Linked DNA regions of Danio rerio. The protein of the gene in region 3 interacts with the protein of the main gene of each other region in a biochemical or structural test. Links are inferred from orthologs where the notes say so. Each region holds a gene or a part of one and is shown on either strand. Other genes may lie near its edges.

Region 1 (3,577 bases), on a different chromosome or scaffold from region 3:
TTATAGTTCGTTGTTCATAGCTAAAGTGAGCATTCATTTTTACTGCAGTAAAACAAAGAATCAGGTGATGTGTGAAAGCTTATGAAAAAATCTCTGTTTTGTCCTTCAGGCATTTTGGTTTTGTTGTCAGCGCAGCTCGCCTTTTTGCTGGAATTTATAATATTCCATACTCAGAAGAGGTAAACAATGATTTACACAAACTGCTGTCTACTTGTGTGGTGCCTGAAAAAGTGCATGGTGTGCAATATTTATTGTCTACAGCAATATTATAATTGTTGCCTAAACAATGTGTGAGCTGAGATTTTTGTGTATGTTGTTTAATTTGCAGAAAACAAACTAAAAACACTCAAAAGTGTTCACTGCATGATACAGAATGTTAAAATGAGCCTGTACTGAACTCATAAATATCCCTTGGGTTTGGGTTTATGTTTTTTATATTTATAAAAGATGATATAGTAAAGTGTGGAGTTAGCATGTTCCCGTTGTGGGTTTCCTCCGAGTGCTCCGGTTTCCCCCATAAGTCCAAAGACATGTGCTATTGGTAATTTGGGAAGTCTAAATTGTCCATAGTGTATGTGTGTGAATGAGAGTGTATGGGTGTTTCCCAGTGATTGGTTGCAGCTGGAAGGGCATCCTCTGCATAAAACATATGCTGGATAAGTTGGCAGTTCATATCACTGTGGAACCCCTGATTAATAAAGGGACTAAGCTGAAAAGAAAATGAATGAATGAATGATGTAGTAGTAATATGACCCATGCAAGAGTGCCGCTATCTTGAAAATCAGTTTTTTAAATTTGATCTCAAATGTGATAATGATTTTAGAAAACAATTTTACAAAAAATTATTTTACATTTAGCTTAAAAGGTTGAAATGAATCTTGCTGTTCACTAACATTATGAGCAAATGATTCAGTGATACATTCATAGAGATGCTTATTTTCTGAATGAATCAGCCATTTTGAATGAATCATTTGAATTTATTCATTAAGACAGAATAAGAATTAAGCTCATTAATGCAGGGACTTGCTACTATATTGATATTTCTTGATCTGTTAGGCTTAAACCAGCCAAGAAACAATAGTATTTAAAAAAACTAATATTGTTTAACTTAATAATTTAAACTCAACAAATAATCCAGATAATTTTCAATATTGCACACTCCTACTTTTTGAAGTAATTGTTTGTAAAGTTTTGTTGCTATTTGTCTTATAATGTTCTATTGAATCATTTATAGCAACTTTCCTACGAGGATGTCTCCAGAGTTTTAGCTGAAGTGGATGTTCCTGAATACAAACCAGCTGAAAAGGTATCTGTTCATTCACTTTGTGCATGTCTGATTGTACTCATTCTTAAACACAACAACTTTATAAAAGCAATCAAAATAAAACAACATTATTTAACTTTGCATTTAGGTCAAAGTGATGTGACTTAAACAGAGTTTGGCACATAAACCTGCTTATAGAATTAAAATCGTAATGCTCTAAATGTTTTACTGGGATTCCTGCCTCTAATAAAGAGTAACAGTTGGATTCTGGATCAAAGAAAAACTTGATTTTTATTTTAGGGAAATTAATTTTTAACAATAATAAACTCTTTGAAGACAGACCTGTTGTGCATTGCTAACTTAATTTGTTGAACTTTAAACGTGATTTTATCTGTTTTAAAATTTTTTTGTTTACCTTTAATTCCTTTAATCTTTAATTTCATCAGCTCTTAGACAATGCAAAAATTAAAAAGTCCACCAAGATGAGGCGTGGAGGTAGTGTTTTTTTTTTTTTTTATAAAGCAATGTGTAAGCTTTTGGACCTGCATAGGTGCATTACATTTAGATCAGCTTTTAGTTGGTCAATGGCGTGGTCTTTTTTAGTTCCTTAAAATAGCAATGCGCCAACAATGTGTTTTAACAAACCTCCTTTATAGGCCGGAACACCCATGAGTCAGCAAAGTGATGCAAATGGATTTTGCTATTTAAGCAACGTGGTGCAAAACGTGAACATTACTATTGCGCTGGTCTGAAATTAGCAACAAATCGCACCATACACAACGTGCACCTTATTGCGCCGGGAGTATGATAGGGCTGGATGAGTTTCTTTCTTCTGCTGAACACAAACAAAGTCATTTTTGAAAATCTTGGAAACCAGTAATCATTGACTTCCATAGCATTTGTTTTACTTACTATGGAAGTCAGTGGTTAACAATTTCCAAAATTCTTCAAAATATCTTTTAGGTTTAACTGAAAAAATAAAATCATAAATAATAAAATAATAAATATATAATAATAATATAATAATAAATAATAAATAACTTCATAAAGATCTGGTGAATAAAACTGTAAATTTTTACATTTTTGGTAAACTATCCAAGAGCCAAATATTTGTGATTTTCTGTGGCTTTACCGAATTTCATCACTTTTGTGTGTTTTTTATTTCAGCATATAGAGACTGACGAGACTGTTAAAAAGCCAGATCAGTTGAAAATAACAGTGAGCAGTGAGGAGGAAAGAGAAGCCATTTCACAGCTACAAGAGGCCATCAACTCCAACTTAGTAACACCTGGTGTGTTTATAGCACACAACATATAACAAACAGTTCATAACAAATCAAGATGCTCAGCTTCCACACATTTGTACTCACATTTTACTCTTACTTTAGAGAGACTATGTATGAGTCCGCTGTTCTTCGAAAAGGACGATGACACAAATGGACACATGGATTTTGTAGCATCAGCGTCAGCCCTGCGAGCTCGTATGTACGCCATTGAGGCCGCTGACCGACTACAAACCAAACGAATAGCTGGCAAAATCATCCCTGCGATTGCTACATCTACAGCTGCTGTCGCTGGACTGGTGAGAGTAAAAACTAAATGATTTCAGTGAATATTTGAGTGCATTGCTGTGTGGATATATGATTGCTTTATTATTCATTCCCTTTAGGTGTCGATGGAGTTGATTAAAATTGCTGGCGGTTATGGATTTGAGTTGTTTAAAAACTGCTTCTTCAACCTGGCCATTCCAGTTGTGGTTCTTACAGAAACAGCTCAGGTCAAGAGAACCCAAATCAGGTAACAGATCAGTGCTTGTGCATAGATACTTTTCAGGGATGAATAGATGCACTATTCCTGGCTTCATGTAATTGGATCTTTTTGTTTTGACCAGAGATGATATTTCATTTTCTATCTGGGATCGTTGGACCATCTTCGGTCGTGAGGACTTCACCTTATCTGATTTTATTAGTGCCGTAAGGGTGAGTAACATTAAGGGCTCTATTTTGACGATCCATGCACAAAGCGCAGGGCGCAAACGCTTTCAGGGCGTGTCAGAATCTATTTGCTAATATAAGGACGGAAAAATCCACTTTGTCTAAAAGGGCTGAGTTTATTTTCTTAATGAGTTATAGGTGTGTTTTGAGAATAAACCAATCAGACTCTCATCTCCCATTCCCTTTAAGAGCCAGTTGCGTTGCGCCATAAGCACATTTGCCATTTACATGGCGTAAAGTAACTGTAGGTGGAAAAACTGAGCATTTCACTAGCAAGAAAACAGTTAAACAGAACATCTGCAGCGAGAGAATGAGAGATG
Region 2 (3,577 bases), about 18 Mb from region 3:
GGCCTGCGTGGCTGCTGGAGACCTGGCACCCGTCAATGCCTTTATTGGTGGGCTTGCTGCCCAGGAGGTTATGAAGGTAATATGGTCTTCCATTATTGTCTTTGAACTTTAGATCTGTGAGATGCAGCATTGTGATGTGTTAGCCTCACCTATCATGCTTCTTTATTGTTTATCTGCTCAGGCCTGCACAGGGAAGTTTATGCCCATCATGCAGTGGCTGTATTTTGATGCTTTGGAGTGCTTACCTGAGCCTGAGGAAGTCATTCTTACAGAGGAAGAGTGTGCTCCTGTAAGTGCTTTATATTTTTAGCATTTGTTTAATATTTGTGCATTGTTATGGCTCGCTCAAAAGATTGTGGGTTTAAGACAGAATAATTTATTCAGTTATCTGTTTTGTACAGAGGAACTGCCGGTATGACGGCCAGATTGCCGTCTTTGGGTCCAAGCTGCAGGAGCTGTTAGCCAAGCAGAGATATTTTCTGGTGAGAATCTAAAACTGGCTGTTTTTCAAAACTGAATGATTTCTCTATGCCAGATAAGGGACTGCACAATGCCTTGTCACCTTGAAGTTACATTGAACCAAACAAATAGCTTTGAATAGTTTATAACAAAACAAGCAAGTATTTGCTGATCCAAACTTTTTTTATGCATTTATTCCTCAATTATTTAGTGCTTAATTTTTACTAATACAGTCAAAAACTACATTTTAAATGGCTTAGAAAAAATTACAAATATATATTATGGAAAAAGTATTTGAAATGTTTTGGCAAATATTAAATTGAAATACTAAAATTACAGATGAAAGTATGAAAACTATAGAAAAATAACGTATGATAAGGATAAAGCATATTTAAAATTAAAACTGGACATTTAAAAAAAAGCTCATTCAAAACGGTTTGTGCTGAACAAAATGCCAGACAATAACATCAGCCACGTTTTGCTTTCAAACCATTGTAGATTTGTTTTTCATCTCGCTTTTAGTTATTTTAAGCCGCTGTTGTAAATTTGAAGAAGAGACAAACCAGGAGGATTTTTCCAATATCTTCAAAGCAAAATCGTTTTCCGGGCCTTGCTTGAAAGCATCACTAGGCCATTTGTTAGACAAAAGACACAGCCCTGCCTGGAACTGACAATATGCATTATTTTGGAGAAACAATACTGTCTTTTACATATAGGCAGTCTACCTTGATCCCTCAGGATGCATCTTAAAATGTAAAAGCCTAATTTATATATTAAAAGAAACTTGTAATCTTTCACCATCAAACAATATTGAAAAAAATAGTTCATGCTAGATTATTTTTGCCTTTAGTCCACAATTAATTGTTAAACTGAAACTACGAAAATAAAGCTTTATTTTTATTTTTTTTTTTGCTAGACAATAAGCTGAAATATTAATATAAAAAATTAAAACCATTTGTAAAAGTCAATAAATATAAAATTAGACAAATTAAGACTAAAATATTAAAGCAGAGGAAATTGATGCTTCAGCAACAGGTAGTTGTATCATTTACACAAAAAAGAACAAAAACCTCTGCTTTAGCATGTGTTGCGTTCACCTTAGTGACCCTTTCTGTGTTCAGGTTGGTGCTGGAGCCATTGGCTGTGAGCTGCTGAAGAACTTTGCTATGATGGGCTTGGCCAGTGGTGAAGGAGAGGTCATAGTCACTGACATGGACACCATTGAGAAGTCCAATCTCAATCGACAGTTCCTCTTCAGACCCTGGGATGTCACGGTACGATTGACTGACCCATTCTAACACTGAGGAAGGAATTTTGAGAAAAAACAGGATTATAATGCCTTACTTTTGTATAACATCGCTGATGGCTTTGTTCTTCTTTTATCGAGCAGAAGATGAAGAGTGAGACTGCTGCTGCGGCAGTGAAGCAGATGAACCCGTCAGTCCGTATCACTGGTCACCAGAACCGTGTGGGACCGGACACGGAGAAGGTCTATGATGATGACTTTTTTGAATGCCTTGATGGAGTGGCAAATGCTCTTGACAATGTAGATGCCCGTAAGTAAGAGTTTTAAGAAATCGTGCAGCTGCTCACAGTTGAAAATGCATTGCTTGAACATCATGTTTGCTCCTTCCAGGTATGTATATGGATCGGAGGTGTGTGTACTACCGTAAGCCATTGCTGGAGTCTGGTACTCTTGGCACCAAAGGAAACGTGCAGGTGGTCATTCCCTTCATCACAGAGTCCTACAGCTCCAGCCAGGATCCTCCAGAGAAGTCCATTCCTATCTGCACACTCAAGAACTTCCCAAATGCAATCGAACACACCCTACAGGTGACAAGCAATATTGAAATGTTGTCTTGAGCCTTATTCCCAAACTCGATTTAGAAATTTTTTTTTTTTGCCAAATGGGCAGTCTTTTTGAAGTATACACTGGGGTTGCTCTGATTGATTGACTACCAATTACAATTTGTCAGTAATCACTTCTAAAAACTCTATCTGTGATCTCTTCATTTTCCAGTGTCATAAAACCAATGTCATTCTGATCAAATCATTGATGCCAATTCATTCTTTTTCTGGCATGGGTTAAATAATAATTAAAAATTTCTAATTACTGGAATTAATTAATGGAGATCATTTAGTTATTTGTCGATTGTTTTTAATGTAATGTTTATAAAAATAGTTAATGTAATGTATAAAAATGTATATTAGTTTTTTGTATAATCTCTTATTGAATTAAGTTATTTAATATGTTTTTCTATATTGGTCTTGGCATGAAATAATCACAAGTTGCTGATGTGGCAATAAATGAACTTGGAACTATTTTCCTGGTGAATTACAAGTCATACATCTTAATTAATTTTGATAAACTCTTACCCAGACTTAACACCAATGTCACCAGATTTCTCTAGAAAGGTTCACCAGCCCAGTTTTTGTGCTTCAGGACATTGTTTAAAGGAATCATTCAATCAAAAATTAAAATCCTGTCATTTTCCATTTTCTCACCCTTCACTTGTTCCAAACCTGTTTGACTTTTTGTCTTTTGTTGAACACAAGAAAAGATATGAAGAAGGGTGGAAACCTGCAACTGTTGACTTTCATAGTATTTGTATTTGGAAGAAATTGTACTATGGAAAGTCAGGTTTCCTTAATGCATCTTCATTAGTGTTCAACAAAGAAAATTGTAAAGTTTTGGAACGACTTGAGGGTGAGTAAATGTTTCATTTTTTGGAGCACTATTTCTTTGAGGGTGAGTTGACCTCTTAAAAAGACACTAAAATAAGCAGACATGACAACTGCACCTGTGAAACAAATGTAACCAAAAGTTAAATTACCAACTTGTAATAAATGAAAAGGTAGGAAGTGTAAGTAATAATAAATCAAAATCACATATTTGAATGATATAGTTAATTATTTAAATATTTAAGGGTTTTAGATTTTAAGCACGATTTAAATTATATGTTAATCTAAATTTTATTTAGTTTTTTATATATTTATTTAATTTTTGGTTGAAATAGTTTTCTGCTGAAGAAAGCTGCATTGATTTGATAAATGTGTCAAATTTGAAATTAAAGTGTATAAATGAAGGTCATTTGAAAAGTAACGTGTATGAATATTT
Region 3 (4,294 bases):
GAACTGATAAATATTTGGTCTTAAATAAGTTACCTGTAGTAAGTTAGTCAGGGAACTAAACTATTTTATAAACATATTGAGATATTTCAAATTCAAACCTAAAGCTTACTTTGCCAAGCTTTATAAATGTAGCCAAACACTGTAAAAAATGCAGGGTTCCACACGATCCATTCATGTTTTCCCAACACAAATTGATTAAGTTAACTTAACACTTTAACAAATTAATGTGAATTGAACAATACAAAAAAAAAAAAAAAGTTGTCCCAATGAAATCTCAGGACTTGTGTTGTTTCAGCTCATTTAAAAAAGTAGTTTTAACAAGTAAAAAAAAAAAACTGTGTAGCCCTAGGCTAATTTTACCATATGTTTTTTTTTTTTTTTTTTTTTTTTTTTACAAATGCGAGTGTATGGTAATAGACACAGCCAATATTATTAGCCAGTTTTGTCTTCTGCTACAGGAAAATTGAATACTAACATAAAGGGAAATCACTCTAAATGTAAACCTAAATAAATTGCTATTTCAACAAATAAAATGTAGGCCCACAGCAAATGTGAAAAGTTATGCGTATCATATTTAAAGTCCCCATCAATTCAAAAATATGATTTTGTTATCTAGCTGCTAATATTGTGGTGAACAAGTCATCTGTGCATGTAATTAAAAGAGAAAAAAAATGTTTGTCCTTGTAATCTTTATTGGAAATCTGAAAATGCACTTCCTGTTTTATTATTATTATTATTATTATTATTATTTATTTATTGGGGGGGTGGGGGGGGGGGTGTTGAATTGTTAGATTATATACATTTCAAGAATTGGGCGTCACAAACATATTTAACCATGTTGCTGAGGAGGAGGTGACAGGTTGTTTAACTCTCCCCAAAACCCTTTTACCGATCTTTTTGAAAGAAATGAAAGTTTACTACATCCATTCAGCTTGCAGAAAAAACCCCAAAACAAAACAAAAAACAAACAAAAAATAAAAAATAAAAAAAGCCACAGCTACTGTTTTGTCAATTAATATTCAGTTTCTCTAAACTATGGAAAAAAATTAAAATAAATAAATAAATAAATGGTCACATCTTCCGGTTCATGCGGACTTTAACAAACAGTTTAGGCTACAACATATTTTATGTATATATTTTATATTAATTTTATATAAAAAATTAGCCTGTGATTCATCACAACAGACATTATAATGTCTATAAACAATCATGAGCAACACACAGCGATCTCAGTTCATCCAGACATTTTAATCTTATTCGCAAATTGTTTAAAAACAAACAAACAAACAAAAAAAAAACAGATATAGCCAGCGATCAGTTATCAGTCAAGTTATTCCAGGATCTGCCGAATGTTTAAGCGAGGTACGAAGAATACACGGTGTCTACAGAGAGAATAAAAAAGAGACACTGTACAAAACATACATAAAAAAAAAAAACTACAACACCCATGATGAATCTGGATGCACCTCCGGCGCACAATGACGTATTAACATTTCGCGGGCAGAATCAAAACCACACAAGTCAACCAGCCAGCCGGAATTTTCAAGCAAAGCTGGACGGTAATAACACATACGATATTAAGTTAAAGACCTCATACAGTGTTGAATAAAATAATGTACTTATTGAATTGTTAATAATCGCGTGGTGTTGATGTGCATAGTCGCCATGCAGAGAGTCAGTCGTCTGAAGCGGGAGATGCAGCTCCTCACCGCTGAACCTCCTCCAGGAGTCTCGTGCTGGCAGTCAGAGGGACGCCTGGATGAACTACAAGCCCGTCAGTTTCTGTTTCTCTTTTGTCGTCTCTTACTGAAACTACATATTATATCCAAATCTGACGCCCTTGCTTTACCTTTGTGTTTGGAGTATAGAAATTGTTGGAGGTGCAAACACTCCGTATGAAGGTGGTGTGTTCACATTGGAAATCAACATACCTGAGAGGTGGGAATTTGGTTTGCACATTCGGACTTAAACCTTCTTAATTTAGTTTTAGAACAATATTATTTGCCCGTTTTAAGTGGGGAAATTATATTAGCAGCTAATGACATAGAGGTAAAGTTGGTTTTATATTTGGATATTCAGACATTATCCTCAATAATATAGTTTCAGAATAGTATTCTTTGCAAATTGTAAATGGGGAAATCATATTAGCAGCAAATGACTATCAAATTACAACATTGTTCACATTGAAATAGGTAGTGTTAATGTTGTTTAGAAGTCATATTTGCATGCTAATTTCTATCCAATATTCAAAACAACATGGTAAACAATATAGAGACTGCTAAATGAATGAATGTGCGGATATAAAACCAACTTTACCTCTATGCTAATGACTATCAAAGCACAGCATTGTTCACAGTCAGTTTAATGGTACTAATGTTGTTTCAAAGTTGTGCCATTTCAGACTTGATTTTAAAAAAATGCAGTGCTTTAAACAGTACAGGTAGGTTGTAACAATATAACATTTTTACACTATGATAATTGTTTTAGAAAAAAAAAAAAGAAAAACAGTGTTTCTGGGTGCATTAAAAAATTTGATCATAACAACCCAGCCGACATGTCCACATAGGATTTTTTGGGCCGTGTGGGTGTCAAGTGGGCATGGGCTCAAAGTGGGCATTTTGTTGAGCTGAATGTGGGCCCCGGTTAGGCAGCTTACACACACACAGCTCACAAATGGGCCACATATGGGTTATCAGATTTTTTTTTTTTTTTTCAGTGTGTTTGCTTTTGTACAATTATGATAACAGCCCAACCATTTTTTTAAGTATTTCATATCACATATATGTACTTACAGTGGTGATTATGAATATTTTGTATATTGTACAAGAAATGTACGTACGCTAGGCATGAAGTTGCCGTGGACCATAGCACATTCCCATGTTCATGATTGTTTTTTATGACAATTTAGAAATTAAACTAGCAATAATCATATAATTGATATAAAAAATCTTTAAATTCATGCTAGAATCATGTGTTATCAATATTATTGCACACCAGAGTATTATCATGTCTTAAAAAAAAAAAAAAAAAAAAAAAAAGGCATTTCACTTCAAAAATGTGCTGTAAATATTCCTGTATCCATTTGGCATAATACTCTGGCAAGAGTGTCGTTTTCCTGAAACATCACATGCATAATTGTACAAACAGTAGTTCAATAACGTTACTGTGTATTTAGTCATTTTAGATACAATGTTGTCTTTTTCCTCTATTTCACCATTGAAAATGGTTCCTTATAAATCTGGATTTGTGTCCGAGTAAAGCTGTTACTGAATTAATCTGCTTTTGATTTATTAATTGGATTGAATAAAGCAGAGATCAATTGAAAAAATCAGTATTTTTTTCCTAATAAGCCATTTTAAAGATTTTTTTAAATAAATTTAAATGATTACTTGGTTTAAATGCCTGCTTAACACTTTTGTTCATTGTTTTAAGGTATCCATTTGAACCTCCAAAAATGCGTTTCCTGACTCCCATTTATCACCCCAACATTGATAATGCAGGACGCATTTGTCTTGACGCTCTGAAACTGCCACCAAAGGTAGATGCTAAAAACAGCAACAATAATGTACCAATAATATGTATTTTTCCACTCAAAATTTGAATTCTGTTTTGAAATATTTTGGTATTTTTAGTTGTATTAACTTGATAGACCTTTTTGCAACTCTCTTGTGGTTGTAAACTACTGACATGTCACATGCTGATATTTATAAGCATTGTTTTTTAAAGGGAGCTTGGAGGCCCTCGCTTAACATTTCAACAGTTCTCACATCCATACAGTTATTGATGGCCGAACCAAACCCTGACGACCCTCTCATGGCTGATATAGTGAGTTTTAATTCAGTTACCCATAAAGCCTGGTTTATACTTCTGCGTTAAGTGATCAGCGTGACCTACGGCGCATGCAACGTGCGTAGCTGTGCATACTTTTTTCTGTTGCTCTGCAATAACACTTCCGAAACACTAGTTGGCAGTGAGGTGTTTGTTTCTCTGTGTCCAGTTTCTTCGCTGGTGTTTTGTTTTTTCTGAATGCTTCCTTAATGTACAAGTGGTTCAAACTCGCTCATTTTGCGGCAGGAACCGCCAGACGTGCAACAACTTTAACCATGAGGTAAACACAAAACAAAACTTTCCAGTTAGTTAAAATGTAGTTACGTTTTTTTGGGAGGTGCTCGTCAGCGACGGCCATGGCGAGGGCTATGCCTCCGTGCATAGACCGCGCTGTAGCATACACGTGCGCTTGCGGCAGAAGTATAAATCAGCCTTTAGTTTTTCATGTTTGTAACTTCTGGAATTA

The links. The genes of interacting proteins can lie anywhere in the genome.
Region 1: the proteins of ube2t (region 3) and uba6 form a complex in vitro, tested with the Homo sapiens proteins (2 studies listed by BioGRID, with this or other methods). The link is inferred for Danio rerio from reciprocal best matches to the Homo sapiens genes UBE2T and UBA6.
Region 2: of the proteins of ube2t (region 3) and uba1, one has a biochemical effect on the other in vitro, tested with the Homo sapiens proteins (4 studies listed by BioGRID, with this or other methods). The link is inferred for Danio rerio from reciprocal best matches to the Homo sapiens genes UBE2T and UBA1.

What each region holds. Positions count from the first base shown.
Region 1 is NC_133176.1:21,383,238-21,386,814, forward strand, and holds part of uba6 (ubiquitin-like modifier-activating enzyme 6), read left to right. Parts: intron 1-109; coding exon 110-179; intron 180-1,234; coding exon 1,235-1,306; intron 1,307-2,431; coding exon 2,432-2,555; intron 2,556-2,651; coding exon 2,652-2,845; intron 2,846-2,932; coding exon 2,933-3,060; intron 3,061-3,154; coding exon 3,155-3,242; intron 3,243-3,577. UniProt on the Homo sapiens protein: Activates ubiquitin by first adenylating its C-terminal glycine residue with ATP, and thereafter linking this residue to the side chain of a cysteine residue in E1, yielding a ubiquitin-E1 thioester and free AMP.
Region 2 is NC_133198.1:23,558,897-23,562,473, forward strand, and holds part of uba1 (ubiquitin-like modifier-activating enzyme 1), read left to right. Parts: coding exon 1-76; intron 77-181; coding exon 182-289; intron 290-401; coding exon 402-482; intron 483-1,580; coding exon 1,581-1,733; intron 1,734-1,849; coding exon 1,850-2,015; intron 2,016-2,095; coding exon 2,096-2,292; intron 2,293-3,577. UniProt on the Homo sapiens protein: Catalyzes the first step in ubiquitin conjugation to mark cellular proteins for degradation through the ubiquitin-proteasome system.
Region 3 is NC_133198.1:5,229,821-5,234,114, forward strand, and holds the start of ube2t (ubiquitin-conjugating enzyme E2 T), read left to right. Parts: upstream 1-1,488; 5' UTR 1,489-1,559; intron 1,560-1,660; 5' UTR 1,661-1,665; coding exon 1,666-1,774; intron 1,775-1,868; coding exon 1,869-1,938; intron 1,939-3,432; coding exon 3,433-3,538; intron 3,539-3,726; coding exon 3,727-3,825; intron 3,826-4,294. UniProt on the Homo sapiens protein: Accepts ubiquitin from the E1 complex and catalyzes its covalent attachment to other proteins. Catalyzes monoubiquitination. Involved in mitomycin-C (MMC)-induced DNA repair.